Linked DNA regions of Bombyx mori. The protein of the gene in region 6 purifies or fractionates together with the protein of the main gene of each other region. This does not show direct contact. Links are inferred from orthologs where the notes say so. Each region holds a gene or a part of one and is shown on either strand. Other genes may lie near its edges.

Region 1 (4,843 bases), on a different chromosome or scaffold from region 6:
CAGCACGGGGGATGTGCGATATATCGGCCATCAGATTCTCTCACGGAGCGTAGTGCAGGAGAGACATTCAAAACTTGTGTTTGAAGTGGAGAACTCTCTGGGGCGAGCCTCCGAGTGGGGTGAAGTAAATTTGGTTCAATTCAACCCGTTGAAGACACAGGTTTGCGCGTTCACTGCGAAGAAGGACCCCTTTGTCATGGCGCCGCAATTCCAAGGTGTATCCCTACAACCTTCCAAGAATATTGGGATACTTGGGCTCGACATTTCGAGCGATGTCCAATTTCGGAGTCATTTGGAGGGCAAAGCCAAGTTGGCGTCAAAAATGCTGGGAGTCCTCAACAGAGCGAAGCGGTACTTCACGCCTGGACAAAGACTTTTGCTTTACAAAGCACAGGTCCGGCATCGCGTAGAGTACTGCTCCCATTTCTGGGCCGGGGCTCCCAAATACCAGCTACTTCCATTTGATTCCATACAGAAAAGAGCCGTTCGGATTGTTGATAATCCCATTCTTACGGATCGATTGGAACCTCTGGGTCTGCGGAGGGACTTCAGTTTCCTCTGTATTTTGTACCGTATGTTCCATGGGGAGTGCTCAGAGGAATTGTTCGAGATGATACCAACATCTCGTTTTTACCATCGAACCTCCCGCCACCGGAGTAAAGTTCATCCATACTACGTGGTGCCACTACATTCATCCACAGTGCGTTTCCAGAGATCTTTTTTGCCACGTACCATCCGGCTATGAAATGAACTCCCCTCCATGGTGTTTCCCGAGCGCTATGACATGTCCTTCTTTAAACAAGGCTTGTGGAGAGTATTAAACGGTAGGCAGCGGCTTGGCTCTACCCCTGGCATTGCTGACGTCCATGAGCAACGGTAACCACTCACCATCAGGTGAGCCGTGTGCTCATCTGCCTGTAAGGCAATAAACAAAAAAAAAAGTACAGAGAATACCTCACCCTTAAAACTGAAAATCATGAACACTTCTGAGGAAGCAATAGACAACATGAAAGTATCTTTCAGAGTGGTCTCAGAGTCCAGTGTCCAACTAGTTATTACTCAAACTTAATTCAGTTTCATTACGCATATTATTATTTTGATTTCCTTCATCATGGAAGTTGTTCGTTAGGTACATACATGCAAATCTTAGTATCAGTATATGTATACACTTTACCGATTAAGCCACGAAAACATTAATATATTTAGTATAGTCAAGTCAAGAAACTACTGCTTTGTATTTAGAATAAAAATAGTCACAAAAATGTTATTACATCAAAGCAAGCTGTTAGAATATCCACTCTTACATTTAAGATTCTTTTCTTGTGCCATTGCACACCACGGAAAGCATGTTCCTAATGCATCCAAATGTTCATATGTGTCCACCATTACACCCACTGAAGTAACACAGACATAATGTCAAATAAATAAAGACTATTTTCTTCATAATCAGATTAGGGTCAAATAAGTCAACAGTACCTAATTTCTAGAAATAACCAGTACATGCTGTTTCTAATAATGGTAATAGATATTTAACTATAAAGTTTACATTAAAATAGTGAGAATCTACAATATTTTTTCTTAGATTGATTTCTTCTTTTATAGATATACTTACAAACTGAAGACACTTGCTTGACATATTGCACTGCAATTTTTTTCAAATACTCAGCATGTTCTTCAGAGATAAACAAGCCCATAAAGTTGTGTGATACATAGGGTTCGAGCTTAAGAGTGCATTTAGGTGGGTCACCCACATTCTCGACAACTTGCCGAACTGCTTTTGCTAAATTAAGAGATGTATCATCGGGTGCCTATGGATATTTTTTTACTGTTGCGATTATTTGTTTAGATATGTACTATTATTTCATAAGATATGTTAATAATAAACATTTATCAATCACATCAGTTCTATATCCATCCATTCTTTATAATTATTTGTAATAAATAATAATTACTTTGCATATATGTATGTACAAGGCATAAGCGAAGCATTTCCAAAAACAATGACCATTGATGGTTGTGGTGTCTTCTTTTTTGGATCAATTTATCTATATATTTAATGTGTATAAAATTAATATCCAATTTTTGTAGAACCTGACTAAATTTTAAAATTAGCTGCAGAATTAAAATAGCCATTGTTACAAATGTAACTCATATCTTATATCTGGAAGTGGGGATGAGGATTGACATATCTATTATCTGAAATAATACCTATAGCCCAGTTTCCATTTAACTCTAAAAACCATAGCTTAAATTGTAAATAAATTGTTGGTGGCAAAATATAGTAAATTAAAATAAACCTAAACAATTCAAAGATCTGACAAAAAATAAAATGAGGCTTACATTATTTATAAATGTTTGTTTACAGGGACTATGCATAAATTGATAGAGGAATCAACAGGAATGTATGATATATTTTTTATTACCTTGAAAAAAGATACTAAAGTGATGTGAGGTAAAAAATTATGAGCTCCATTCCAACCACACGTTGCCTTAGACTTATCCCAGAATTCTAGGAGTTGTGAGAGTAAAGGTCCTGTAGGACTGGCATAGAAGATATACTCGCGAGGATCATCAGCATCTATATTCGAGTCACTAACGTGTGTCAATAGCCAGTCAGAGGCGAGTTGAACACTGCGGTTACCAGTTGCTGCTAAAGCTTTCAACCTAAGCAATTTAAATTATATTGTAGTATTATATTTACTGTGGCCCAATTAAGTTTTGATTTCTTTAAATTTGCTTGTACAATTTATTGTGGTTCCAAACTAGATACTACTACTACATTTATTACCACATAATATAGACAAAGTGTCGCTACAAACTTACGCTCTTTGCCTTCTAAAACCCATTTGCAAAAGTATTTGCAGTGGAGAAGCATCTTGTTTTGATTTGCTAGCTGAAGTAACTTTTCGTGGAGGCAAATTAGCCATTTTCCCCAGAAATAAGCATTTACATAAAATATTTCTTATAATATTAGTCGTTATCAGAACCGGCATCAAAACAGAGAAAATGAGAATTGAACTTTTTGACATTTGACAGTTTAGGTTTGTTAAGACTGAACATTGACATTTATCAGAATGTCATTTGACAATCATGGATCTCGAATATTAAGTGTATAATCTATGATCATGGATATTTAGATTTTATGATAATTTTATGATACCAACAACCATCCTTTCAACTACACTCGCGAGCAAAAGTTTGGAATCACTTACTTGAAATTGGTTCCGCGCGATCTTGTGTACTACATATTTTTTTGATAATCATAAAAATGAGATCATTTTAAAGGTTGAGCTCTTAACCTTAAACTGATACCAAATTAATTAAAATCAAACCAGTATTTAAGAAGTTATCTTGGATTAAGTGAAGGAATAACGAAAAAGACGTGTTTCAATTGCTTGATACGTCGCGAGTTGCGGCCTATTGACCCCTCTAAAAGCACCTGTTATCGGATTTTCTTTATCAGTCGACTTTCACACGTTGACCGGTACATATCTCGGCTACTTTTGACCCTTTACCTTGTACGACAATTGGGACAACACCTACAGAAGTAGCACAAATCGTAGCCCTATTGCAAGAAGAGCTCAGCCAGCGGGTTGTCGCTCGTCGGCTCCAAATAAGCCATTCCTGTGTTTCAAAAGTTTGCAAGCGCTTTCAAGAGACTGGTAGCTTTATCTCGAGACCAAGATCTGGACGGCGCTGGGGCACATCGGAGAGGAATGACCGTTTTATCGTGTTAACCTCTCTCCGAAATCGGCATTAACCTGGTGTCGACGTCCAACAGGAGTTCCGAGATGTTCGTAGGGTAGCAGCTAGCAAGTAGACAGTTCTTCGACGACTCAAGCAAGCGAATCTGACTCCAAAAAGGCCTGTCACAGGGCCGAAACTCACGGTAGCTCATCGACAAGCACGCCTTCAATTTGCTCGTACCAATCTTAATTGAGAGGTTGAGCAATGGAGGCAAATCCTGTTCTCCGACGAGAGCAGGATGTGTTTGCATGGTAGCGACCGAAGAGGTTGGGTCTACAGGCGGCCTGGGGAGCGATTTGCGCAGTGCTGTTTCGCTGAAACAGTGGCTTATGGGGTCGGCTCTTGTATGATGTGGGCCGGCATTTCCTTCGACGGTAAAACCGAGCTTGTTTTCGTGCCTGGCGGGGGACGAGGAGGCGGTCTAACTTCGGACCGATACATTTCCAATATTCTGCTGGAACATGTCGTTCCCTATGCGGGATATGCCGGTGATAGCTTCCTCCTTAAGCACGATAACGCTCGTTGTCACACTGCCAGTGGAACAACTGAATACTTCGAAGAAGTCTATATCGCCACATTGGACTGGCCTGCGCTCAGCCCTGACTTGAATCCTATTGAGCACGTGTGGGATGAACTGAAGAATAGGGTTCGTTCCAGAACTTCTGCTCCTTCATGCCTGAATGAGCTGAAATCGGCGTTGATTGAGAAGTGGGAAGGTATCCCACAAGAATCAATTCAAAAGCTGATCAGGTCTATGAAGAATCGTCTTCGAGGAGTTATTAGGGCGAGGGAAGGGAACACAAATTTTGGGTGTCAGACATATAAATTAAACAGGCTAACTTTGTTCACACTTTGCTTTAATCTGCCAATTTTACATTGATGCGTTTGGTTCTTGATTTATTCATAATTACTTTGGACTTCTTATACAAATTTTTACACACAACGCTACCGCGATGTAATTTTGTTAGCCTGTGACATCTATTGACGACATTTGTCAACTGTTGAATTTATAACTTAACAATATTTTAATGGTTTGCAATATAAACCTCATATTTAATAATAATTCTTAATATGTACAGGACTCTATATAATCATA
Region 2 (4,059 bases), on a different chromosome or scaffold from region 6:
TTTTACTCTCGAAAGGATTTTATTTAAATCCAAAATATATTGGCTTTTCTGCTTGAGTGTTAAGTTTCGAAGTGTCGCCTCCGAATCAGTTTTCGATTCGTTTCTTGATTGATCATTATGATATTGGCATGTGGTATTTTCCGAAGATTATCTTCTTGAGTTATTAAGTCCTTATCGCGGATTAACAAATCACAAATTTGTTTAAAGTAGCTATAGCTATAGCATTAATATCTAATTAAGGAACTCTAAGACCCTTCCTTTGTTTCTGAAAGAATTTAATTGTTATATTGCAGTGTATGGCGCGTGCTTTGTATGATAACATTGCGGAGTCTCCGGACGAGCTAGCTTTTCGAAGAGGCGACCTGCTCACCGTGCTGGAGCAGAACACCGGTGGCAGCGAGGGCTGGTGGCTGTGCTCGCTTAGAGGAAGACAGGTATTTTTATTTCAAATATTCGAAAATTATTCAATATAGATTTTCATTGGTCATTATTGCATAGATTTCATGACCGTCCGCTATTGTTTGTCGAGAAACCGTACTATCGTTATGATTCATAACCTAAAGCACGAAACAATTAAATCTCACGTAGGCACGAATGAGTAATTATTGTTTTGTTGATAGCTGTAGTGTAAGGTCGTAATTTGTGACGTGTATTTTTCAGGGAATATGTCCGGGCAATCGGCTGCGGATAGTGGCGGGCGTGTTCGACTCCAGTGGAGCGACGCAGAGGCGGCGAACGAGGCCGCCTGCGCCCGTAGCCCACCAGCCACTTCCCACACAACAATCTCCCGCGTTTACCAAAGTAAGTTTTTAGGTATTTAATAATTTGGTAAATAAAGTATTGTTTACAAGTCCAATCTTATAATATATTAAACAAATGTATTTCTTTCATTGATCCATAGAGCGCTTACACTCGCACCTTCGTTACTTAAAGTAGACCCATGAACCCGATCTGAGTGCTGTCACTTCATCCGCGCTAATTAGTAGTTAGGTACTTAGTATTTCCAGACAAAACGCGATTTTTTGTTTGTTACCCTTTTGCATTCACTTTAAACCTTTATAGTTGATTCCTATCTCTTAGATAGGTACATCACGTTCGTATCGTGAAACTCATTTTGGTTTTTGTTTCTGAACGCTCTCCTATGGGATCCAGGTGGACCATAAACAATACAATTTGAAGGTACACGAAAAAGGGAAGATCTTCCACCGGGCGGATGATATTCCTCGGTAGACGGACGGTCCAAATGTTGTTCGGAACTTGTATATATGCAAACTTATCCTGAAAATGTCCTAAGCGAGATTCATCTGTTTATTTAATGTTTTGTATGATGGCTGCCCGCTACACAATCGTCTGTACAGATCGATTTAACACAAATTCAAATTTCAGATAGAGGAATGTTCACACTATGACGTGCCCCGAGCGCCGATGCCCGTGCAACGCATCGCGACGTACGATTGCCCGCGACCTCTCGGCGACTGGTACGACGCGCCTCGCGCCCCGCGCCCCGCCAGTGCGGACTCCGCTTGCAGTGGGACCGGATCCTTAGCTTCGGCCACATCGAGTGCGTCCGCGAACTCTGCCAACTCTGGAAGCTCGGCGCACTCCGCTTCGAGCACTTACGATGTTCCTCGGACACGTGCTCTTCCTTTGCCTTGTGACGCCGCATTGGAAGCATTAGAACGATTGCAGGTGCAAAAATTTTCTATTTTAGTATTATTTTGACGATTTATGAGGTTATAACTCAAATTATTCTTTTAGATGATGATTTGTGGTTTTGTTTATTATTCATATACCATATTTGTGAGTCATTTATCCTTTTGAATTACAAATTTGTGCAAACTCAATTGTTATGTTAAAATATAATAATATTATTAGCCTAGATGGGCAGAGCGGCTCACGATTCGCCTGGTAATAAATGCTTACTACCATAAACATTTTGTTTATATAGTAAGCATATATTGACCATATATAAGCTGGCATTTTCCAGCATCCAGCGTGAGACATGAGGTCAAAGTTTTAATTGGATTAAGCTTCGATTCCGATTCCACCTCTTGCAGCCTTAACGTTGCAACAATTATTACAATATTTAATGTTATTTACTATTTCATCATCATCATCACAAACGTTCATACTGAATTTTACCATTTAGGCCAGCTAATATTGGTTCTGATTGCACCACTTTTAAAATCGAACAACACAATACGACAATAACATAAGCCGCCATTATAAGACTTAGGTACTTTATAATCTGTACCGTAAAATGGGGCGATTAGGGACAAATTCCAACTTTATGAGCAATTTTAAGGTAGTTGTTGATGTATATAATGCTATATCAGGATCAAAATGGTTGAGTCTTGGGAGCATCTTTGTTGTCTAATTTAAAATTTTGCAACTAGCATTCCAGTTTAAGCAAAAAATGCAAAAATAGGTGTAATCCCTATTTACCCGAAAATTGCGGTTAATTGGGACGAAATGAGAAATTTGCTAGGGTTGGCACTACTTTTATTTTTATATATAGTTTTAATTTATTTACTTATTTAGTTGCACCAACAAAGTGATCATCAATAAAAAAAATTGAAAACTGACAAAAGTACATGGCAGACATCACCTCAATTATAGGTGCAATCGACAGTGCATTAACAACAACAAAAAAAAAAATATATATATATATTTATTTATACATATATAGTGGGCTTTCTTAGAAACGGTTTATATTTCTCCGTTCTTGGTAAGTACTTAGGGGCTGATATTTCTATCTGGGTTAAGAGATTAGGTGTGTCGGGTATTCCATGGATTAATCAGATGAATACCCCCACTCTGAACAAATATTAAATATTTTATTATGTATTACTTAGACATTTTTGTCCACCTTGAGATTTCATTGATCTTGTTACATGTCTCTGCAAAATCGACTTACTTATATTAAATTGCTTATCTATTTCAACTAAAGACTTATTCCCAATTTCGCTTCGAATAAACCAGATTTTTACCAACAAATTTAAAAATTATTTTATAACTACATAGACAACCCTACAAACCTGTACCTATTTATACTTAGGTCGTTTCCATTTCACGTATTCTCATCCCAATTGACCCCTTTTTCGTTGTTATTTATACCTAAGACGTCCCCAATATCCCCAATAACAACAGATTTTTACATGTATTTTTATTTAATCAAATACATTAAAACCAATAACAACTGAGACTTACCTTTAATATATATGCTGGTTCAAACACTAAATAACGTTTATAAATCATAGTCGTCTTCTATTATTATCAAATAAATAAAAGAGAGCAAAGTTTCTAGCACTAAAATAATTACCACCACAGGAAGTTAATTTGAAACGCGATTTTTTATAAGTTAGCAGCTATTATCATGAATATTCAGAGTTGTTTTGTGAACTTTCAACATTCTACTATTAAACTACAAAAAATGGAAGATTTTGCAACGAATATAAAACTTATATTGAGCGTCGAAAGATTTTCCCGGTTTTTTCCCGATTCGCCTCTCAACCCCTAATCGCCCCATTTTACCGGTATTTAAAATCACTAGTACCGTAAAATGGGGCGATTAGGGACAAATTCCAACTTTATGAGCAATTTTAAGGTAGTTGTTGATGTATATAATGCTATATCAGGATCAAAATGATTGAGTCTTGGGGTCATCTTTGTTGTCTAATTTAAAATTATGCAACTAGCATTCCAGTTTAAGCAAAAAATGCAAAAATAGGTGTAATCCCTATTTACCCGAAAATTGCGGTTAATTGGGACGAAATGAGAAATTTGCTAGGGTTGGCACTACTTTTATTTTTATATATAGTTTTAATTAATTTATTTATTTAATTGCACCAACAAAGTGATCATCAATAAAAAAAATTGAAAAACTGACAAAAGTACATGGCAGACATCACCTCAATTATAGGTGCAATCGACAGTGCTGATATTTCTATCTGGGTTAAGAGATTAGGTGTGTCGGTTATTCCATGGATTAATCAGATGAATACCCCCACTCTGAACAAATATTAAATATTTTATTATGTATTACTTAGACATTTTTGT
Region 3 (4,303 bases), on a different chromosome or scaffold from region 6:
TTGCTGGTTGCGTTACGTAATTCAGTCACCGATATCGGGAGTGCGCCTTGCACTACGAAGCAAACATAAGAGGCGCTGTCGAACGCATCGACATCGACCGCTCCCGCTCCGCGCCTGGTCCCCCCGCCTCGACCACCGCACGCGCCCGCGCCGGCCGGTAGACTCGCACGAGACAGATAGTCCGCACTATTATCTGCACTCTTCACGTACTCGATTACATAATTATAACCACTAAGAAAAATTGCATATCTTTGAAGTCTGTTTGCCGAGACTTCTGGGATGCCTCGTTGTGGGCCAAATATTGAGAGCAGCGGTTTGTGGTCCGTCCTTAGTATAAATGGATTTGACCTGCCGTACAAATATTGATGAAATCGACGAACACCAAATATAATCGCGGTTGCTTCCTTTTGGATTTGTGAGTACCTTTTCTCGGCGTCGTTGAGCGTGCGCGAAGCGAAAGAGATAGGTTTTTCCTGGCCATCGGAACTCACCTGTGATAGAATAGCACCTAATCCATTGGGCGACGCGTCTACAGTGAGAATTATATTTGCATTAGGATTAAAATGGGCCAATACATTATCGGATGCTAACATTTTTTTTATTTCATTAAACGCCTTATCATGTAACTTAGACCAACGCCACTTTGTTTCTTTTTTTAAAAGTTCGTATAATGGTCCGAGAATACAAGATGCATTCGGTACAAAATTCCTATAATAATTTACTAAGCCTAAGAAAGATCGTAGTTGACTAACATTCGTAGGCGCCGGTGCCTTTAATATTGCTTTTATTTTATCGGGTGATTTCCTTAGCCCCTCTTTATTAATGGTAGACCCTAAATAATTAATTTCATCTTGAAAGAACTGACATTTAGACTTTTGTAGAACAAATCCTGCGTCTTGCAACCGTTGTAGGACCTGATGCAATCTCTCAAGATGTTCAGAGTCATTGCGACCCGTTATGAGCACATCGTCCAATAAACACAGCGTGCCGTCCAGGCCCGCTAGCACTGTATCCATGGCTCGCTGGAAAATTGATGGCCCACTAGCTAACCCGAACACCAAACGCGTATACGCGAAGATCCCTTTATGCGTATTGATACAAGTTAACTTTTGGGATTCTTCATCCAGACAAAACTGACCGTAGGCCATAGACAAATCTAATTTAGTAAATTTCTGGCCCCCGTATAGTTTAGAAAACAACTCGTTTACGGTAGGCAACGGATACTGTTCTACAACTAATTGCTTGTTTATAGTAACAGAGTAGTCCGCGCAGATACGGACCGAACCGTCACGTTTCAGTACCGGGACTATTGGTGACGCGTAGTCGGAATGCTCGACTGGTCGGAGTACTCCCAGTCCCACCAAACGGTTTATCTCTTTTTCCACTTTTTCACGCAGAGCAAATGCGACCGGCCGTGGTTTAAAAAATATAGGATGAGCACTTTCTTTTAATTTCAAATTAACTTTATATTTGTTGAATTTACCTAACTTGTCCGAGAACACGGCGGGATATTGTTCCTGTATTAATTTCAACGTGTCACGGGTAGTGGCACATTTATATACGGGCGCTAGCTGCAGTTCAAATTGTGCGATGAAGTCGCGGCCCAGTAAAGGTGGTCCGCCATCGCGCACCACGTACACGTCGAGCTGGCGCGTGCGACCCCGCAAATTGGGTTTTGACCTGACGCAATATATCATCATCAGCTCCTCCTACCCGCGGGCGCCGTGAGGTCCATTGTAAAATGGGTAGCAACAACTGCCTCTCAACTTAAAGTAGTAAAAAAGTCGTCGTGGCCTAAAGGATAAGACGTCCGGTGCATTCGTATCTAGCGATGCACCGGTGTTCGAATCCCGCAGGTGGGTACCAATTTTTCTAATGAAATACGTACTCAACAAATGTTCACGATTGACTACCACGGTGAAGGAATAACATCGTGTAATAAAAATCAAACTCGTAAAAATTATACTTTGCCTTATAACACGAGTCCGCGCGGGTAGGTACTACCGCCTCGCCTATTTCTGCCGTGAAGCAGTAATGCGTTTCGGTTTGAAGGGCGGGGCAGCCATTGTAACTATACTGAGACCCTTAGAACTCATGTCTCAAGGTAGGTGTCACCATGTAGATGTCTATGGGATCCGATAACCACTTAACACCAAGTAGGATGGCAACAAAAAAATCTGCTTGTACTGCTTATGAACATTGTGGTAATCGTTGTGAGATAATGACTTGCATTTTACAGATGAACCGCCAGCCCACCATTGTGGTGTCTCCGGTGGGGTGGGAGGGGGAGGACGAGGGCGGCGACGAGGAGGACGGCTACACCGCGAGGGCGCTGTACGACTACCAGGCCGCCGCGCCCGACGAGATATCTTTCGATCCTGATGACGTCATCACCAACATCGTCATGGTAACACGCGGTCACACCACCCTGCTCAGATTGAAGGGGGCGAGGGGGGACCGTTATGTAATAAATTCGAAACCTCATAAATATAATGCTTAGCGTCGGAACGGTACTTCAATAAGGCTATGCGTCATAATACCCTCTTATGGTTGCCGCCTCTGACTTCTCCCCGAATCCTGATCATGCAGGAGCAAGTCACCTTCGACACCCTACGAGGGCGGCACTGAAAATTTCGGGAATTAACGAAGTGACCCAACATTACTATTTAAAAATATATTTATTGCTTTTCGAAGTATTCTCCGCGAAATTTGACACATTTTTCCTTACGATGGAACCAATCATTGAAGCAACCATTCCATTCGGAAGTTGGGGTCTCCAAAATGGCCGTTTTGTAGGCGTGAACGAATAATTTATGTTGGCTTTAACTCATTTTCGAGCACCCAAACTCGTGACTGGTTTTTTGTTTCGGGTTCGTACGCGTATATCCAGGATTCGTCACCTGATACAATGTTGTATACAGCATTTGAGGATCCTGCGTGAAATCTTTCGAGAGTTCTGACGCACCAAGTAACGCGAGCCGCTTTTTGCTCTTCACAGAGCGAATGCGGTATCCATCGGGAAAACAAATTTTTTACACCTAATTGTTCATGCAAGATTATTTGTATTTGACTCATGCCAATGTCTAAAGTTGCCTGAATTTCGCGGTATGTTACATGTCGATCTTCCCCAATCAGCTTACGCACAGCGTCAAGGTTTTCTTGGGTGACTGCAGTTTTTGGACGACCTTGACGGGGATCATCACTGAGCTTGACACGTCCACGTTGAAACTCAGCAAACCAGCGATAAATTGTGGTTTTGGATGGGGCTTCATCACCAAATGCAGAAATCATCCGGTCAACACACTGTTTTTGTGTTAAACCACTTCGAAAGTCATAATAAATCATCGCTCTTGAATTTTCTCGAGTCAATTCCATTTTCTCAACGACTAAACAAGTTTGACAAAACCTCGTGACAAGACCGAGAATCTTTTTTTAAATAAATAAATGGTATTCGATTTTTAAAACCAAGGAGTTTTCAATTAAAAAGATTTTAATATGACAGGAACAGTGGAAATATTCCATTCCCGATACTTTTAGTGCAGCCTAGTAGACACGTCCTTATGGATGTATCAGATCCAATAACCTTTACATTAGACGCCTTCAGCTCTAATACTAGAAGCAGGCTTAGGGACCCCGGTAACCGTACTCGTCGAACTTGCCAAAGAGGTCGACGTGCAACCTAACCCATACATCAGCCCGCTGAGTTTCTCGTCGAATCTTCTCAGTGCGGAATCTAGTAGTCATTCGCGAAGCAATTACTCTTGAGTTGTTGGGTCTCCTTTGGAGGCGCTCGGGCAGTTGTTAGCAAATTCCACCCCTCCTGGCTGAGCCCTTGCTCGCCCACCTGTCCTGGTAAAACTGAAAAGGCCTCCGAGCCATCAGTAATCTCTCAAACATAAAAAAAATGTTTTAATAAATTACCATTTTAAACCAAATAATGTAACATAATGGAAGACATGAGTGGATAAAGGGGTTAAGTACATTTTTTAAGATTTTTGAGTTTTTACATTGAATGAAGGTGTTATGTGCCTATAAACCATATTAGACCTTAAAACTCTGGATTTAAAGACTTGTTTTTAAAAATTACATTTCGCACATACAGAGCTATAATATCACTTATGCGATTCTTGTTAATACTGAACTGAGTTTGAGAAAATCCATTTCTTTAATGGTTATCAGTGAGATATTTGCTTTTACTGATAACGTTAAAATTGTAGTTTAAATATTATCATTTTATTTCTTTAGTCGAGAAGAATAATAACTTGTATTGTAATAACTTAATTGTAATAACTTGTTGAATTTT
Region 4 (4,767 bases), on a different chromosome or scaffold from region 6:
TTCTAATATTGCTATTACAGGTCTGTGGTCACTTTGTTTCAATTCTGCCCTTCCATAGTGTAGAAGTTTCCCTGCTGATAATTCTGATGTGGTTTCAGGATCAATAGTATATTTTCTGCTTCTCCACAATACACGGTCAGTCCATGCTGGTGCTCTGCATTTTTCACTGGTATCATAATCATCACTAAATAGATCATATTTATAAGTTGGAGGAAATGTAATTTCTCCTTCAAAGCAGTTTTTGAAAACTAAATCTTGTGACTTTTGCTGTAAAAGTTGATCTTGCTCCAAAAGCCTTTGCAAATTATTTTGTGAAGCCAAAAGGCGTACTTCATCTTTATCTAAATCTATACGATAATTAAAATCACCACACCAAAATACATAGTCATGGGAGTACAGAGAGCGACCCATGGGAAATGCAATTTTTCTAGTAATTTCTGTGTAATCAGCATTACGCTCTGTAACTTGTGATTGACCAGCAGCAAAATGTGCACAAACAAAACATAGTGAGGTTCCATAAATTACCATTCTTATTCCCACAGCACCTTTATTCCCAGTAGCCCCTCCAAGTCCAGTCTTAACTGAATCAAGTGCTACATCTCTGATATGCGGTATTAAATCTTTTCTAACAAATATGAATAAACATACTCCAACAAGTTGATGACTAGACAGAAGTGTATAAGATGCATCTCTGCCTAACACTTTTTCCAGTTCCTCACTCCATGCTTTTGCATTATCAGTACTAGCTGCCATAATATTACTAGCATTTAAATCAACTATTTCTTCAAAGCCTATTGCAAATATGTCAGAAGGATGATCCTTCAGATTGACTGTATTTACCAAAGATGAATTTGGACAATCTAATAACCAGTCAGATAATGAAACATCCTTATAAGCAAGACTTCTGAAATGTTTACCACCATTCACATTGTATGTGCCAATAGTTATTCTAAGAGTTGAAGGTTGAGTGAATTCATTCGTTCTACGACACATTTCCCTCAAGATAGCTGTAGAAGTGTGTAGTATGTTAGATGGCAACAGTATTCTTGTGCGGTCTGCCAGTTCAGAGTTTAATGTTGAACCAAGTAATAAAATATCAATTGCTTCTTGCTTTGAGTTGTCTAATAAATTGTTCTGGATAGTCCTGGCAGCAGATCGAGCTCCATCAATTAGTTTGGAGCCTCCTTGAATTGCACCAGTTCCAGCATAAATTTTAGATATTTCATTTCCATTATTCACCCACATCTGTTTGTAAACTTCTTCAAATCTATTAACATTTTGTTTTTTATCAAGACATTGTAGTAGCATTAATTGAACAGCAAGCATTTCTAAACCAATAAATGTCTGAATAGAATTTGTTCTATCTAAGCAATCCAAGCAATTGGTCCTTATAACTCCCTTTTGAATATTATAAATGTCTGACCCTTTTGCACTAAAAATCCCAATCTCATCATAATATTTCTCAATATTCTGTTTAAATTTTGATAGAGCTATCTCTTGGGATGTTGCTCTTACTTCCTGATGATAGTCAAAAACAATTTGTAGGACATCAGAATGTGGAGATTCATTAATGTGTTTCTGGAAAGCATTACTTAATGTTGCCTCACCTTCACTACCCCCAATCATGTTAGATCCAAGCAGATTTACAACTATTACAGATCCATAATTACGCTTTAACTGGGCAAAATGTCTCTCACAAGCACTTGTTGATGCATCATAGCCTCTTGACATTTTTACTTTGTGTGAGCCAACTTGTATTCCAGGTTGTTCCCAAAACAATGGCACAGACCCTCTTGTTTGTATATAAGATGCTACAGAATCATCAATGTAAACAGCTTGTTCAGTTTCTACAAAGTTTGCCACATTTCCATCATCATTACAACCTCGCACATTAAATCTAGTTCCAGCCCTTTCACAACTAAGTCTTGAGACAAGTACAGCCCTAGCTTGACGATGCCCAACATAAATAGTGCGTATTTCTACAGATCCACACATTGCTCGAGTTAGCCACTCATCACAATCTATGCCATATCTGATTAGATGTATGTACAGTGTTCTATTCCAAAAGAACCTATTATCAGGGTTGGCTCCTTTACTTTTTCTTTGGGCACACAGAGTCAAATCAAAAAGATTATCATTGTTTTTGCCAGAATACCAAGAGAAATAAAATGTACCTGAATTAATTAATTTTCGGACTTCCGAAACCTTATCATCACCTTGCGATTGGTAGAACAGTGGCAGAAATTGAGTTTGCGTTATCTTAAATACTTCTAAATCCCCCACTTTACCAACAGAAGAGCATCCGGTGATTAACACAAGATACAGAAGACAGCTTTCACCAGAATTTAGCTGAAGTACTCCAAGACATCCATAAGCGTCTGCAACTTTATGGTATTGTTTCCTTAAAGTTTCTGTTTCTTGCGATGATAAGGAAACAACGGCTTGAGATTCGAAAAGAAGTGCAGTGTCTTTGTTTCTGTGTTGTAATATTATGCTATACGGACTGGGGGGCGATGATTTCTCCAGAACTTTAAAGCCTTTGGACATAGCCATGTTTAGTTTCTATTTGGCGATTATCACGCCATTAGCTTTTAAGATAAGTCAAATAACAATTATAAATTTATATGAGAATAACCGAGACCAATCTTCGACTTGGTGGACAGAATGAATTCAATCAAATCAATCCACCCATAGAATAGTGAATAGTGCTTATCCAATTTAATCTATGCTACTAGTGGTGTGACAAACGGCTTAAAATTGACAAGCGCTTAACACTTTTCAAGTTTTACGTATGCTTTTTGGAATAGCTTTTTAAATCAGGAAATCAGGAAGCTTTCTTATTGTAAACGTACATAGCTTTAAAACAATGGTAAGACGCTTTATTTGTATCGAGTGCTGCGACTAAGCAGGAGTTCAAAACACGCCTGAGTCTTGCGGGTTAGTTAGTTATTTATCAGTTATTAGAAAATATCTAAGTCGAGTTCCATAACGATTTCAACGAGAAAAGAATTGCATTGGAAAATAAAAATCAAATCCGTTAAACTTGTGAATTGCGTAATTACCTACTGGTGTTGGGACATTTTTGAGCTTGCTGAGTTAAAACCCATCGACCTTTATCTATTACTCTATTACTATGGCAGCACACCAGCAATCCGTTCTATATTGATTTACGGTACAATTGAGTCTTGGACCACATGTTACAAGAAAATAAGATTAAAAATGGATGTCATTTTATAATTGAAAAAATATCATTGAAAATACACAACTGTTACAAAAATGAATTTCTAGCATGGTATATTTAAAAATTTATATAATATTCTTATTCCCATACCCATTGTTTTCTGGAATATTAAGCTTCATATATATGAAATGTTTACATCTATCTATGCATTATTACCATCCTCTTAGCACGACTTATAATAACGAACATTAATTTCATGACAACACTGTTTTGATTTGCATTTTCGCCGTTAACGTTGCGGTTAGTACGTTAACGAGACCTACCCAACAATAAAAGTATTACACTAACGATTGGTACACTCACTTTATTTAAAGACAAGTGTTATGTAACAGGCGGAAATCAACTTAACGTTTACTCTATCTAAATTAAATTTGAAACTCTTTTTGGTATGAGGTTACTTTTCAATAGATACTATTAGTACGGTACCTACTTTCATTCAAAGACTACCCAGGTATAATACATTACTTGTCTGCTTTTCGATGATCGACTTCTTCATCTTCTTCTTTATTTTTTGGCTCTGGTACAGTTTGTGCGTTAGCCAGCGTCAAGTAATAAGATTTTTATAATTCGCCCGTTTTAATTAAAACCTTTAAGCTGTAAAGTTTATGAATAATAAAAAACGAAGGAAAAGCAAATTCAGCACAAAAACAGCGTCCGCCAAATTCCAATGTTTCCCGCGTTTTTTTTCTTCTAATAATTTAATGTTGATTTATGTAACGATTGGAACACAACACCACATCGTCGAAGCAATGAGACGATACGGCATTAGGAAGTGAAATGAAATTTATTAAAATGAAACATGGCATGAAATGAGATGAGATATGGGATGAAATATAATCTCAATAAAATGGTGGTAATTTACTGAGACTTTTTGGAGAATCCCGAGAAGCTACGTCCAACTGCTTTGTTTAATTTTACCACATTTTTGCACTTTCACAGATACTAAACAGTAAATAAACCACCGTAATTACTCATTTAAATCTAAAGAAACACTAAATAGATAAAATAAATTAATTCAACAACTTCGCTCCTCGCGTTCCCGCCAAAAAGTCGATGATCGAATTTTTTAAGTACCTACCTATATCGCTTAAAACCACGCTCTGATTACTACGTATCTACTATTCAGTGACACCCACCATCTGGTACCTACCTAATTAAAGATTTTAAACACAATTTAACAAAATGGATTATAGATACCAAAATGAATTTCTAAAGATTTTTTTAATTTATTTCATTGCCTACATTCTAGTGATTTTATAGTGCGTCATTAATTACTCGTACAAAAATAATGCACTTAAATAATATCATTAGGTTAAGCGTATTTATGCGGCCAGTTTTAGTCTTTTAAGGCGTATTTACTTACAAAATTAAATACGCCAATTTTGAATCGTAAACAAGGTCAAAATAATAAATCAATACTTTGGTGACATGTCAATGACTTTTATTCGTTTTATGCTGTTGGAATAATTTAGAAGAACGGAAAAAATGTGTCTAATACAAAATACGTACCTTTTTTATTGATTGAG
Region 5 (4,815 bases), on a different chromosome or scaffold from region 6:
CATATATATTTAGATGGTATTAAAGAAAATTGGAACTGTTAACAAATATGTAAGATGATATTCGGTTATGTTCCATTGTGGATTACCGAAACTTCGTTTTCTGTCTGATACTTATTGGAAAATTTAATACTTCTTTAAAGAATTTGTAGAAGAATATTCCTGGATAGATTAAAATAGTAGGGGTTGTTGTAGGGGGGAGTTTACACAATATTAAAATTGATAACTAGTGTTGGATTAGAAGTAACGAGAAGTAATGAATTCCTTATAATATGTAGAATAATATATTAATTAGTTTTAATTAATTTTAAGATACGAACTTTAGTTGGCTGAAGAAGATCCCATACAAAATTCCAGGCTTCGGGAACTCTCTGAGCCGTTGTGAGCCACGCATGTGCGTTGGCCCTTTCGGTTTGTTCTCCGTTATAGAATACAGAAACGGCGTATTCCAAATTCTGCACAGTATACTCCATTTCAAATTAGATTCTCCAGTGAATCTAATGCTATATATATACCGGAAAAAAGGCCTGATTTTACTTGAACTAATAAGTTTAGACCTAATTCATCTATCTCACTGTTTTAAAACTATCTTTAAGTTAGATTTTTGTGTCTTAATCAATACACAATATTGTCTGGATTGATTAATTTATCTTTCCGATTTTACATTTCTGTAATTTTGTCAATTTTTGGCATTTACCTACCGGATTATGTGAAATTTGACTTTACTAAATGTCAAACGAACCCAACCACTGTTTTTTTTTTTGCCTACTTATGCTGGTAGCTTCAAGGGGCTATAGTTATACCTATCAGCTTCAACGGGTGAGTAGGCGAGCTTACGGGGCTCAGCCTGACGAATTGGTGTATACTAGCCCAAGCAAAAACAGTGCTTCGCTGAATCTACCGCCGGACCGGAATCAACGACTACTATAATTCTGCATAAAATATATTATAAGATTTGTCGGCGATACGTTAGGATTTTTACAGGTAAAAATAGTAGAACGAAAATGTAACACAAAATTCTATAAAATGTTAGCATTGCGTGAATATTACTTATATACATCTATACCGATATCATAAAGAGGAAAGATTTGATTGTTTGTTTGTATTGAATAGGCTCCGAAACTACTGAACCGATTTGATGATAGAATAAAACCGAAAACTATTTATGATAGAATAAAATAATGTACTACGACTTTGTAGAACACATTAATATTTACAGTGTTTTTGCAGTATAACTATTATAGTTATGCCACAGTAAGTGTTCTTTTATTTAAAAAAATAAAACTACGTCAATTATCGTTTACAGAGAAGCTCTGACTTAATAAACTTAATGGCTTTTGTTTTGTATGTATTACATTATCTTTTTACGAAAATTAGAAATATAATAATAAAAAAAGAGATAAAAAATCATATAGAATTTTTTTTTTAATTAAAATAATAGTATTCAAACTATATTTATAGATAATTTTCTTTTTTTAGTAACTCAGGGCAAATAGAAGAGTAGATGACGTGTGTGTGCTATAATTTTTTAATTTTGAAATTTTTGTTAATTTTCAAATGATTATGCAAAGTTTTCGCTGCATTCGTGGTTTTCCAAGCTGTGTCGGTTTTTTAACAGACATGAAACCGCGCGAACCGCGATCCTTCGCGTAGTCTCCCACACATTCGTGTGACCAGTTGCGCCCAGGATAGCGAAGGCAACGGACGTTTCGCTATTTTCATAGATCGTGACGTCCAGGTACTGTGTAGCGTATCTTAATCAAAAGAAATCCCATAAAAACAGCATGGCTGTTAATGATGTCTGGGAAAGAATTCAAAACTCTTTTTCTCTTCAATATTCTATTGACGAATTAAAAAGGAGGAGAAATTCGTGAGACATTCGTAAACAAGTGTAGGAGGAAGCGCAAACGGGTTCGCAAATTGAGTACCGAACCCATTTGCACAGCCGCTAAGTTTGCGAATGAATGTTTGACGGCCCTTCACATGCGCGCAAACATTCGTACAATGTACGAATATTTGCGCGCATGTGAGTGGCCGGCATTATGTGCTGTAGTCTGTAAGAAGCGTATACCTAATCTATGGTCTGTAGCATAGATTATAAACTTAATATATTGTCTGTACAGTGTAGTTTGTATAATGTATGGTGTAGTTTAAAAAGTAAGTTTGCTCAAGTTTGCTGTTGGAGTACTAAAAAGAAAATACAAAGTAACGTCTACTGTTTAAAAGAGTAAAGCTGCTTTCAACATGAAAATTGAAGAAGTGAAAAGCACAGCTAAAACGCAAAGGATCTCTGCTCACAGTCATATAAAAGGCTTGGGGTTGGATGAAAATGGTGTTCCTATTCAAATGGCAGCCGGTCTCGTGGGTCAAGAGTCTGCACGTGAGGTATACAATAAAATTTCCAAAAAAATTGCCGATAAATTTACACTCGAAATTGTATAAGTTTTATTAGATCAACCTCGTAGAGCAGAAGTTCGAGAAAAATAATTTGAGGTTATCAATGTTTGGTTGCTATGGAATTATTGATCAATGGTAATTGGAGGCAATATGACAATATACATAACAAAATGTTGAATTGTAGGATTAGGTAGTTTAGTAATAGTAATTCAATGTAATCTTAAGCAACCTAACACATTTAATACAATCTAATTTTTATTTATCATTTACTGTCCAATGACCACAAAATTACAGGTATTTTTATTGCATCTATACAAATACATTTTTTTTTGTAAACTATTTTTTATTAATTTTAAAAATTGTAGGCTGCAGGGATAGTTGTAGATATGATAAGAAGTAAGAAAATGGCCGGGCGAGCTTTACTCTTGGCAGGGCCTCCTGGTACTGGCAAAACTGCTATAGCTCTTGCCATCGCTCAGGAACTTGGAACTAAGGTAAGTTCTTACTTAAGTCTGACAATATAAACTTGGGCTGTCACCTTCTTATTTTCATATCTAAAATGAGTGTTTTTTTATTATTATTTTTATTGCTTAGATGTGTGGACGAGCTCACAGCCCACCGGGTGTTAAGTGGTTACTGGAGCCCATAGACATCTACAACGTAAATGCGCCACACACCTAAAGTTCTATGGTCTCAGTATAGTTACAACGGCTGCCCCACCCTTCAAACCAAAACGCATTACTGCTTCACGGCAAAAATAGGCGGGGTGGTGGTACCTACCCGTGCGGACTCACAAAAGGACCTACCACCAGTAATTACGCAAATTATAATTTTGCGGGTTTGATTTTTATTACACAATGTTATTCCTTCATCGTGGAAGTCAATCGTGAACATTTGTTAATTACGTATTTCATTAGAAAAATTGGTACCCGCCTGCGTGATTCGAACACCGGTGCATCGCTAGATACGAATGCACCGGACGTCTTATCCTTTAGGCCACGACGACTTCTCTTTAAAAGTCTTTTTATTGACAATCTCAATGGCATCGGTTTAGAGCATACTGACCATAGTGTGACTGACCATGTGTTAACATTTTACTGACCGATTATGGTGGAAGCAGCCACTTAAGACTTCCTATTCGCACACTTTTTAGATAGAGGTTAGGAAACAGCTACTAAGAAAATAGTAAATTCCAGTGAACAAGAACTGTTGAAAGAATGATTAATAGGCTCCTATTAATATACATTGGCATTAGAAAATTAATGAATATGCTAAACAGTACATTACATATAATAAACTTATCATAGTTTCCTCAGTGTCCTTAGCTAGAAGTATATGAATAGAAATATCATCATCATCAATTTGTCATAAAACAAGCATAAAAACATTTGAAAATGTTCATCATTACAGGTTCCTTTCTGTCCAATGGTTGGTAGTGAAGTTTACAGCACAGAGATCAAGAAAACAGAGGTATTAATGGAGAATTTTCGACGTGCTATAGGCCTGCGTATACGTGAAACCAAAGAAGTATATGAGGGTGAAGTAACTGAGTTAACACCTGTTGAAACAGAAAATCCTGCTGGAGGTAACTATAGCAAAATTATTCTTTTATTCTTTTATATATTAATATGGACTTAAGAGGGTCTGAATTAAATGTTTTTTTTTTTTTTTTTTTTATATTGATATAAGAAGGTCTAAGGGTCTAAATAGGGTCTCTAGATAGCTAAAGCCAAAGTGGATATAATCTACTATGATTGAACTTAAAATGAAATTAATTGACAGATATTGGCTATAGTCAGTTTGTATTTTAAGAACAGCAATTTAAATTGAAGGTTGGGAGTCCGTTGCACATTCAGTAAAATGATAAGTTTGTCTAAACCTTAACTACAACTACTCTTAGCACAGTTTGTAGGCAGTGGGTTGGCTTTCCCCTTGACATGAAGCTTTGAAATTGGTCAAAAATTTGATACCAAAGTTCATAATATTAGTTTTGATTTTTTGTGTGGATCTATCATGCAATGAATAATCTTGCTTCAATTACTGTAAAATTTTGACTTGACTTGCTCTGACTTGATTCTTTGGCTTATATCTGCTTTACCTAATATTTTTGATATCTTCTTTTTTTAAGGCTATGGAAAAACAGTATCTCATGTGATCATAGGACTAAAAACGGCCAAGGGTACCAAACAACTTAAACTTGATCCAACTATATATGAATCGTTACAAAAGGAAAAGGTTGAAGTTGGGGATGTCATTTACATTGAAGCTAATTCGGGGGCAGTGAAGAGACAGGGTAGGAGTGATACTTTTGCTACTGAATTTGACCTTGAGGTATGTACATGGTGCATTTAAATTTAGTTGTAGTGGTACTTACTAGAATCATTTAATACCAAATCAACAATCAATCAATCAAATTGAATC
Region 6 (3,914 bases):
TGATGCTGTGCGTAAGCTGATTGAGGAAGATCGACATGTGACATACCGCGAAATTCAGGTAACTTTAGATTGGCATGAGTCAAATACAAATAATCTTGCATGAACAATTAGGTGTAAAAAAGTTGTTTTCCCGATGGATACCGCATTCGCTCTGTGAAGAGCAAAAAGCGGCTTGCGTTACTTGGTGCGTCAGAACTCTCGAAAGATTCCACGCAGGATCCTCAAATGCTGTATACAACATTGTATCAGGTGACGAATCCTGGATATACGCGTACGAACCCGAAACAAAAAACAAGTCACGAGTTTGGGTGTTCGAAAATGAGTTAAAGCCAACAAAAATTGTTCGTTCACGGAGTGTTGCAAAAAAAAATGGTGGCCACGTTTGTCTCCAAAACCGGCCATGTTACGACTATTCCTCTTAAGGGACAAAGAACGGTTAATGCAGAATGGTATGCTAGCATTTGTTTGCCACAGGTCGTTTCTGAACGCCGTAAAGAGAACTGCAACCGCCGCATCATCCTCCATCACGACAATGCGAGTTCTCACACCGCGCACAGAACAAAAGAGTTTTTAGAGCAAGAAAACATAGAATTATTAGACCATCCGTCGTACAACCCCGACCTAAGCCCTAATGATTTCTATACTTTCCCTAAAATAAAGAATAAATTGCGTGGACGGAGATTTTCATCACCTGAAGAAGCTGTGAACGCCTACAAAACGGCCATTTTGGAGACCCCAACTTCCGAATGGAATGGTTGCTTCAATGATTGGTTCCATCGTATGGAAAAATGTGTCAAATTTCGCGGAGAATACTTCGAAAAGCAATAAATACATTTTTAAATAGTAATGTTGTGTCACTTTGTTAATTCCCGAAATTTTCAGTGCCGCCCTCGTAATCACTTTTTAGATCATCAATTTCGTGAAAGACTACCCTAAAAAAAATTGAATAAAATAATCGACGAACCAGTTACTGTATCTTGAAGAGCACAATTCGAAAAGTTTAAATATATATAATATAATTAATTATCCTTATGCTGCTCCTTTTACAGCCGATATTTATTTGTCCCATTTAAAATTGCTGAATATAAAACAAAAATTTGTATAATAAATAAATAGTAGTACAGTATATTGGAGGGAATAGAGACTAGAATTAGAATAGGGACAAATCTGGCATGTCACAACAATACTTTTGTTTAGTTGTTAGATTAAACTTAGTTTTTTTATTTTTTTTTATTGCTTAGATGGGTGGACGAGCTCACAGCCCACCTGGTGTTAAGTGGTTACTGGAGCCCATAGACATCTACGACGTAAATGCGCCACCCACCTTGAGATATAAGTTCTAAGATCTCAGTATAGTTACAACGGCTGCCCCACCCTTCAAACCGAAACGCATTACTGCTTCACGGCAGAAATAGGCAGTTGAACTGAAAATGACTTTTATTTAGTGTTTAATAATATTAAATAGTTTAAATTAGTCATCAAAGTTTTGTAACTCATTAAAGATATTAAAAAGTTAATTACCTAAAGTTAAGTACCTACCTAACAACTAATAATGCCACCCCTATCAAAAAACTATTGTCCCCATACGTAAGCTGATTCACCCCAAAGTCAAAGTGAATCGGGTCAAGCTAGTTTTTTTTCAGTTTTTGTGTTTGTTTTCTAATGAACATGTATAATGATATAATCTCAATTTTATTGGTATTACCCTAAGAAAAAAACATTGAAAATTTGTGTTGGGTCCCGATTACCCCCAATCTACGGTAACAGATGTAGATGTAACCTACTATTAACAATAACGAATGAAATTGTTTCACATTTTAATTTGTAATACGATTTGATTTCAGATGTTGGTGCAGGCTCTATACGACTTCACCCCACAAGAGGCTGGCGAGTTGGAGTTTAGACGCGGTGACGTCATAACCGTGACAGATCGCTCCGACCAGCACTGGTGGCAGGTAAAGTGAAAACACATTACAATTTAAGGCCAGAGATTATTTGATTTTACTTATCGAGCCAAATTTACTGGTGGTAGGTTTTTTTTCCTACTTAGCTGAGGGGCTTAAGAGGCTATTTCAGCGTAACCTTTACTAGTAAGTGAGCTCACGGGGCTCAAACCTGACGACGTTGCTAACACGAACCCTAGCAAGAGATGTGCTTCGCAGAATCTACCGCGGATCGGAAACGCGACCCATTGACAAGATCCGGCGAGAAATTCAGTAGGCTGTGTCTGTGACGGGTGGTAGGACGTCTTCTGAATCCGTACGGGTAGGTACCACCAACCTGCCTATTTCTGCCGTGAAGCAGTAAAGCTGCTTTCAGACTACGGTATAGTGCCATATAGTTTAGCAGCCTATAGTTAGCCAATAATTTATAGTATAGTACAGTGTGAACGTGTCCATAGCAATGTATGATGTGCGATATTGTTGTGCTATGAGCTATAAACTATATGCTATTATATTGTAGCGTAGTCTGACAGCGGCTTAATGCGTTTCGGTTTGACGGGTGGGGAAGCCGTTGTAACTACTGAGACGTTAGAACTCATATCTCAAGGTGGTTAGTGGCATTTACGCCAGGTGGGCTGTGAGCTCATCCACCCATCTAAGCAATAAATAAAAAGCTAATGTATTTCAGACTCATTAGCGTAGCTTTGTTCGTTGTTACAACAGATGACGCGGGACCTTCTCAGTGGGTCGCGTTTCCGATCCGGTGGTAGATTCTGCGAAGCACGACTCTTGCTAGCGCCAGTGTTAGCAACACTTCAGGGTTGAGCCCCGCGAGCTCACCTACTAGTTCTGTGAATCTAGAATAACCCCTTGATGTTACTAGAATATGTAGGAAAAATAATAATTACAAAGCGTTGATTTCGTTTGTCGCAGGGCGAGATAGCTCACCGCCGCGGGTTGTTCCCGGCTTCGTACGTGACGGCGTACCACTCGTCATAGTGGGCGCGCGCCTCATCCCCCTCCCCCCGCCTCTCTACCGCCGCCGCCGCCCCGCGTTCCCTCACACCCGTCGGACCGGACCCAGGCACGTACGAAGGCCGCACATCGACGCCCGCTAAACAACGTCCACTGCTGTATCTAGTAAGTACATTGTATCGTATCGTTCGTCGGCCGATTCAGATATTATTATTACATCGAAATATTATTAGAAACGTGCGTTTTTTTTAAATATTAGTCATACTAAAATCGGATATGTTTGAGCTGCGAACGGGGAAAGACCGCCCGAAGTGACGGGGACGGCGCCGGTGTCCCGCCCCCCAACCCCCCGGCCCCCTCAAGAGAGATTTCGGTTTTTGTGTAATATTTCGTGAGTATTTTGGTGCTTTCGTGTACTCTACAGCGTATCGTGAAAATTATGAATAAAATTTTTTTAATGCGTATTTTGTAATAGTAATTTTGCGAGAGATTTACGTCGTCGGTCCATTGTTTTTTAATCGTGTTTTTTGAAAAGAGAGAGTAAGCTGCCTTATTTATATAATTTCTTGCATCGCAGTGTAAGAATAATTCGGTAGTACAAAAAGTTTATTGGTATTTTTGTGTCGTGTTTCGTATCGATTTTAATGTATTCGGTAACTTTTTTTTTTTTAAATCTGATTTTGACAATTTACAAAATAATAATATTAGAGTGATTTTTATATCCTCGGTAACGTGCCAGAATTATGTTATTTTGTAGTTTTTTGAAATGTATTTTTTTTAGTAATAGAAATATAATAATAGGGAGCTAATGCTACCCAGTTATTGCTGGTGTCTCCCCATCCGCGTATGTAATGTAGATTTCTTTTAATTTTTATTATGTTTAATTCGATGTGATTTTAAATGTTTCGACGCTATTTAACCATTATTAGTTTCTAATGTTCATTAAAAAAAAAAAATATTTATCGTTTGTAATTTAGATGGGCGATTTAATTGTTA
Region 7 (4,059 bases), on a different chromosome or scaffold from region 6:
TCTCTGGGACCCGAAACACCTACAATATAAAAATAGGCATGCCCGAGATGCGGCCTACAAAATAATTATGGAAGCCATGGAGATGCAATATGTCAAAGAAGCATATATTATATAAGCATTTCTTTAGCTACATTGAATATAGCAAAATATAGCTTTGATGCTGGCGGCGCCATGGTTACTGCGATACTGTGGGATTCACGACACTAATTTTTTAACGAAATTACTTTCGCATGTATCGAAACTACTTTCGTGCAACTGAGTTCAACGTGCATGACACTAATTTCGTAATGTAAACTCCGCATTACGATTAAATCTCGGGAACGGCGGGAACGCGAGGAGTGAAGTTGTATGATTTGTTTTATTTTGTCTATTTAGTGTTTCTTCAGGTTTAAATGTGTAATAACGGTGGTTTATTAACTGTTTAATATCTGTGAAAGTGCACAAATGTGGGAAAATCAAACAAAGCCGCTAAACGTAACTTCTCGGGATCCTCCAGAAAGTCCACTGAAAAAGTCTCGGTAAATGACCACCATTTTATTGAGATTATATCATGCCATGTTTCATATTAATCAACTTTATTTCATTTCATAATATCATCGCCACCGCCCTGCCTATTATTACCGTGAAGCAGTAATGCGTTTCGGTTTGAAGGGTGGGGCAGCTGTTGTAACTATACTGAGACCTTAGAACTTATATCTCTAGGTGGATGGCGCATTTACATTGTAGATGTCTATGGGCTCCAGTAATCACTTAACGTCAGGGCTGTGAACTCGTCCACTCATTTAAGCAATAAAAAAAATCATAGATAGTATGCGACCAGCGACTGGTTATATGTCGATCTGGAGGGTAGTTGTGTGAGGTTGGGGCTAGGAAGGCGAGGAGGGCGAGATGCCCAGCGCTGATGCATATCCGGGGTGCGCGTAAAGGGCTAATCATGCCGGTATTAAATATAGTGCCCAGGTATCGGAGTACGACGCTTAAATTTGTGATATTCAGATCCCTCACCGTACGGTTTCTCCAGTCTTCCTCCACCAGAGACCAGCTCCATGACCTCCCGGTTGGCGCATCCGGTGTACGGCATCACGCCTAACGAAAATACCTCCCATAGCAGCACGCCGAATGACCTAAGGATTGTATATTCGTTTAGAAATTGGTGATCAAAAAGACGTATAGTTTTTTTTAATTATCGAAGAGGGACCCAGCCCGCGGCTTAAAACACGTGACTACTTCGTGGCAGAACTAGGCAGGACAGTAGTACCTATGCGTGGGGACTTACAATACTGCAAGAGATCGCTGATGCCCATTCTTCGGTAAATCCCTAAGTTGCCTTACGGCATCTGCGGCATTTATTGGAAGGCGATATTCCAGAGCACCACCCAGCGTATTGGCTATATCTTTTATATATCTAAAAATGAATTGCTTTTCGCTAGTCTCGCTAAAACTCGTGAAAATGCTCGGAATTAAATAAAAATAATAATTTTGTTTTCCCTTTGATGTGTCCCCCGTCGGACGGATTCCTTTTGTTTGTTTTAAGTTTATTTTACACAAAAGTTTAGGTCTTTTGATTTATCGATTGAGGCACTACAAAGTCTGGCGGGCCAGCTAGTAATGAATATTAATGAGGGTTTTGGAAAATAATACTGAGGAAGGATGTTCCAGGAGTGAAGGTCTAGATTCGGGCAAGATTTCAACTTGCACATGCGCACCTATCTCACAGAGGCTGCTTGCGCGATACAGATTGGCGTCATACATACATCTTTCATTCTATGCTTTATCTAACATCAAATTAACTACTATTTGTTTTAAGGTAATCCGTGTGTCCAACCGTAAATCCAAACTTGACTCAAAGAAAGGCTTGGCCAAGTACTTCGCAGTATCTATCATTGGTGCTAATGGCTTATTTTCATATTTTTTTTACCAAATTATAAATTATTATTGGTACTATTGCTTGTGTTATTTATATATGAATGGTTTGTGTTTCTACTTTAATATGTGCTCAAAAGGTGAGTTTTCGTTGTTCGCCTTTTTACGATATGTATTAATGTCAGATTTGAATGGTGTAGAGTATAAAAGGAAAAGACAGGGGAGTTCCCTCCACTCTATATATAACTATAACTTATATCTCAAGGTGGTTGGTGCATTTACGTTGTAGATTTCTATGGGCTCCAGTAACCACTTAACATCAGGTGGGCTTTGAGCTCGTCCACCCGTCTAAGCAATAAAAAAAAAACCTTACCAGACGTCCGTCTTAGTGGTGAAGACTCCGTCAATGTAAGCTTCGGGTGGCATCCACTTGATGGGCAGCATGGCCTTCCCGCCCTTCTTGTAGTAGTCGGCGCGGTATATGTCTCGAGCCATACCGAAGTCCGCTATCTTGACCACGCGGCCCGGGCCCCGGGACGTCAGCAGACAGTTCCTCGCCGCTATGTCCCTGGGAAGTTTAAAAGTCGTCGTGGCCTAAAGGATAAGACGTCCGGTACATTCGTATGTAGCGATGCACCGGTGTTCGAATCCCGCAGGCCGGTACCAATTTTTCTAATGAAATACGTACTCAACAAATGTACACGATTGACTTCCATGGTGAAGGAATAACATCGTGTAATAAAAATCAAACCCGCAAAATTATAATTTGCGTAATTACTTATGGTAGGACCTCTTGTGAGTCCGCGCGGGTAGGTACCACCACCCCTCCTATTTCTGCCGTGAAGCAGTAATGCGTTTCGGTTTGAAGCGTGGGGTAGCCGTAGTAACTATACTGAGACCTTAGAACTTATACTTCAAGATGGGTGGCGCATTTACGTTGTAGATGTCTATGGGCTCCAGTAACCACTCAACAACACCAGGTGGGCTGTGAGCTCATCCACGCAACTAAGCAATAAATAAAAAATCGTGATAGACAAAAGACCTTGTCGTAATCGTCCTTATATCAACTTACCTGTGTATGAATCTCTTAGTTTCCAAGTACCGGCATCCCTTGCAGACGTCCACCGAGCAGAGAAGCAGGTCCTTCATGGTGAGGGCGCTGGCCCGCTCCGGCTTGGGGCGACTCTCGCGAAGGAAGTTCTTCAGATCGCCGCCGGCCAGCAATTCTAGCACAATGAACCTGGGAACGGCGTATATGACAAGAAATATAGGTCTTTCACTTCAAGAGTGACAGTGACAGAGATAAGGAAGCGTGTGCGGGCATGTATTTACCGTAAGGGAGGTCACTTTGAACAAGATTTGTAAAATATGTCGCAAAATTGATTAATAAAAGATACACTTTACCTATCATCATGTTATTCATTTTTTTGGGAGAATCTTTCCTTTTTTGTAAATAATTTCATGTTTTTAAATAGCTAATAAAACAAGGAAGTTTTTTTCTAGTAGTTTGTACGCTTAAATGTTTAGTTGTTTTTTTCAAAATAAATCCAGTTTTCTATCGACTAAATTAGAGAATCAAAACAAAATTTTATAAGAAATCACTTGCTATTTTAAAATGTTTAAAATTCGTTCCAGTATTAGTATTAATAAATGCTAGTTGATGTATTGGTAACTGATAAAAATTCAAACAACTTAATTCAAAACACTAGCATTTTATTTAATGTTTTTTTTTTGCAGTTATTTCAGGATTTTTTTAAAAACAAAACGAAAAATATTGAATATCTCGATAACGAGACACTTTGGTATTAGGGACATTAGGGTTAATTTTGTTGGAAATTAGATGTATTATCACATCCCAAAAGGAATACGTCGAATTACAAGTCACCCTGTATAAATAGCCAAAGACGAAACAGTTAGGTACGTCTGTTTGTTGTCAGATCCTCTTTTTTTTTATTCAGTTCTTATTGACGAACCTAAGTGTAATCTATAATCCTGTTCCAACGGACGGAAATACCTCGGGTGTCGATCGAAGCAAACGCCGATGAGGTGGACTATGTTGGCGTGGTTGAACTTGGCCATGATGGCGGCCTCCATCAGGAAGTCGGACTCGGCCTGGCCGGTGGACAGCTCGGGAAGGGTCTTGACCGCGACCGGCATCTCCGCGGCGTCGGCCGAGCGGTGCCGGTACAGGCCCTG

What was found.
Region 1: the proteins of DRK (region 6) and ecdysteroid-phosphate phosphatase purify together in Homo sapiens (tandem affinity purification; 3 studies listed by BioGRID and IntAct, with this or other methods). This does not show direct contact. The link is inferred for Bombyx mori from reciprocal best matches to the Homo sapiens genes GRB2 and UBASH3B.
Region 2: the proteins of DRK (region 6) and breast cancer anti-estrogen resistance protein 1 purify together in Homo sapiens (affinity purification with western blotting; 3 studies listed by BioGRID, with this or other methods). This does not show direct contact. The link is inferred for Bombyx mori from reciprocal best matches to the Homo sapiens genes GRB2 and BCAR1.
Region 3: the proteins of DRK (region 6) and src substrate cortactin purify together in Homo sapiens (affinity purification with mass spectrometry; 3 studies listed by BioGRID and IntAct, with this or other methods). This does not show direct contact. The link is inferred for Bombyx mori from reciprocal best matches to the Homo sapiens genes GRB2 and CTTN.
Region 4: the proteins of DRK (region 6) and synaptojanin-1 purify together in Homo sapiens (co-immunoprecipitation; 3 studies listed by BioGRID and IntAct, counting the BioPlex papers as one, with this or other methods). This does not show direct contact. The link is inferred for Bombyx mori from reciprocal best matches to the Homo sapiens genes GRB2 and SYNJ1.
Region 5: the proteins of DRK (region 6) and ruvB-like helicase 1 purify together in Homo sapiens (affinity purification with mass spectrometry; 3 studies listed by BioGRID and IntAct, with this or other methods). This does not show direct contact. The link is inferred for Bombyx mori from reciprocal best matches to the Homo sapiens genes GRB2 and RUVBL1.
Region 7: the proteins of DRK (region 6) and tyrosine-protein kinase receptor purify together in Homo sapiens (affinity purification with western blotting; 3 studies listed by BioGRID and IntAct, with this or other methods). This does not show direct contact. The link is inferred for Bombyx mori from reciprocal best matches to the Homo sapiens genes GRB2 and ALK.

Annotation. Positions count from the first base shown.
Region 1 is NC_085131.1:8,634,384-8,639,226, reverse strand, and holds the start of ecdysteroid-phosphate phosphatase, read right to left. Parts: upstream 3,090-4,843; 5' UTR 3,030-3,089; coding exon 2,824-3,029; intron 2,665-2,823; coding exon 2,424-2,664; intron 2,233-2,423; exon of another isoform or gene 1,809-2,232; coding exon 1,613-1,808; intron 1,395-1,612; coding exon 1,305-1,394; intron 1-1,304. UniProt on the Homo sapiens protein: Interferes with CBL-mediated down-regulation and degradation of receptor-type tyrosine kinases. Promotes accumulation of activated target receptors, such as T-cell receptors and EGFR, on the cell surface.
Region 2 is NC_085117.1:10,875,815-10,879,873, reverse strand, and holds part of breast cancer anti-estrogen resistance protein 1, read left to right. Parts: intron 1-293; coding exon 294-434; intron 435-660; coding exon 661-801; intron 802-1,386; coding exon 1,387-1,689; intron 1,690-4,059. UniProt on the Homo sapiens protein: Docking protein which plays a central coordinating role for tyrosine kinase-based signaling related to cell adhesion. Implicated in induction of cell migration and cell branching. Involved in the BCAR3-mediated inhibition of TGFB signaling.
Region 3 is NC_085113.1:1,695,806-1,700,108, forward strand, and holds the end of src substrate cortactin, read left to right. Parts: intron 1-2,239; coding exon 2,240-2,500; 3' UTR 2,501-3,468; downstream 3,469-4,303.
Region 4 is NC_085118.1:11,391,024-11,395,790, forward strand, and holds the start of synaptojanin-1, read right to left. Parts: upstream 3,125-4,767; 5' UTR 2,554-3,124; coding exon 1-2,553. UniProt on the Homo sapiens protein: Phosphatase that acts on various phosphoinositides, including phosphatidylinositol 4-phosphate, phosphatidylinositol (4,5)-bisphosphate and phosphatidylinositol (3,4,5)-trisphosphate. Has a role in clathrin-mediated endocytosis.
Region 5 is NC_085128.1:12,885,924-12,890,738, reverse strand, and holds the start of ruvB-like helicase 1, read left to right. Parts: upstream 1-1,870; 5' UTR 1,871-2,241; coding exon 2,242-2,382; intron 2,383-2,759; coding exon 2,760-2,888; intron 2,889-3,804; coding exon 3,805-3,979; intron 3,980-4,522; coding exon 4,523-4,725; intron 4,726-4,815. Other genes in the region: importin-13, read right to left, coding at 318-470. UniProt on the Homo sapiens protein: Possesses single-stranded DNA-stimulated ATPase and ATP-dependent DNA helicase (3' to 5') activity; hexamerization is thought to be critical for ATP hydrolysis and adjacent subunits in the ring-like structure contribute to the ATPase activity.
Region 6 is NC_085123.1:5,809,304-5,813,217, reverse strand, and holds the end of DRK (DRK protein), read left to right. Parts: intron 1-1,844; coding exon 1,845-1,955; intron 1,956-2,876; coding exon 2,877-2,942; downstream 2,943-3,914. UniProt on the Homo sapiens protein: Non-enzymatic adapter protein that plays a pivotal role in precisely regulated signaling cascades from cell surface receptors to cellular responses, including signaling transduction and gene expression.
Region 7 is NC_085130.1:7,715,580-7,719,638, reverse strand, and holds part of tyrosine-protein kinase receptor, read right to left. Parts: coding exon 3,878-4,059; intron 3,274-3,877; exon of another isoform or gene 3,104-3,273; coding exon 2,936-3,103; intron 2,432-2,935; coding exon 2,237-2,431; intron 1,125-2,236; coding exon 1,006-1,124; intron 1-1,005. UniProt on the Homo sapiens protein: Neuronal receptor tyrosine kinase that is essentially and transiently expressed in specific regions of the central and peripheral nervous systems and plays an important role in the genesis and differentiation of the nervous system.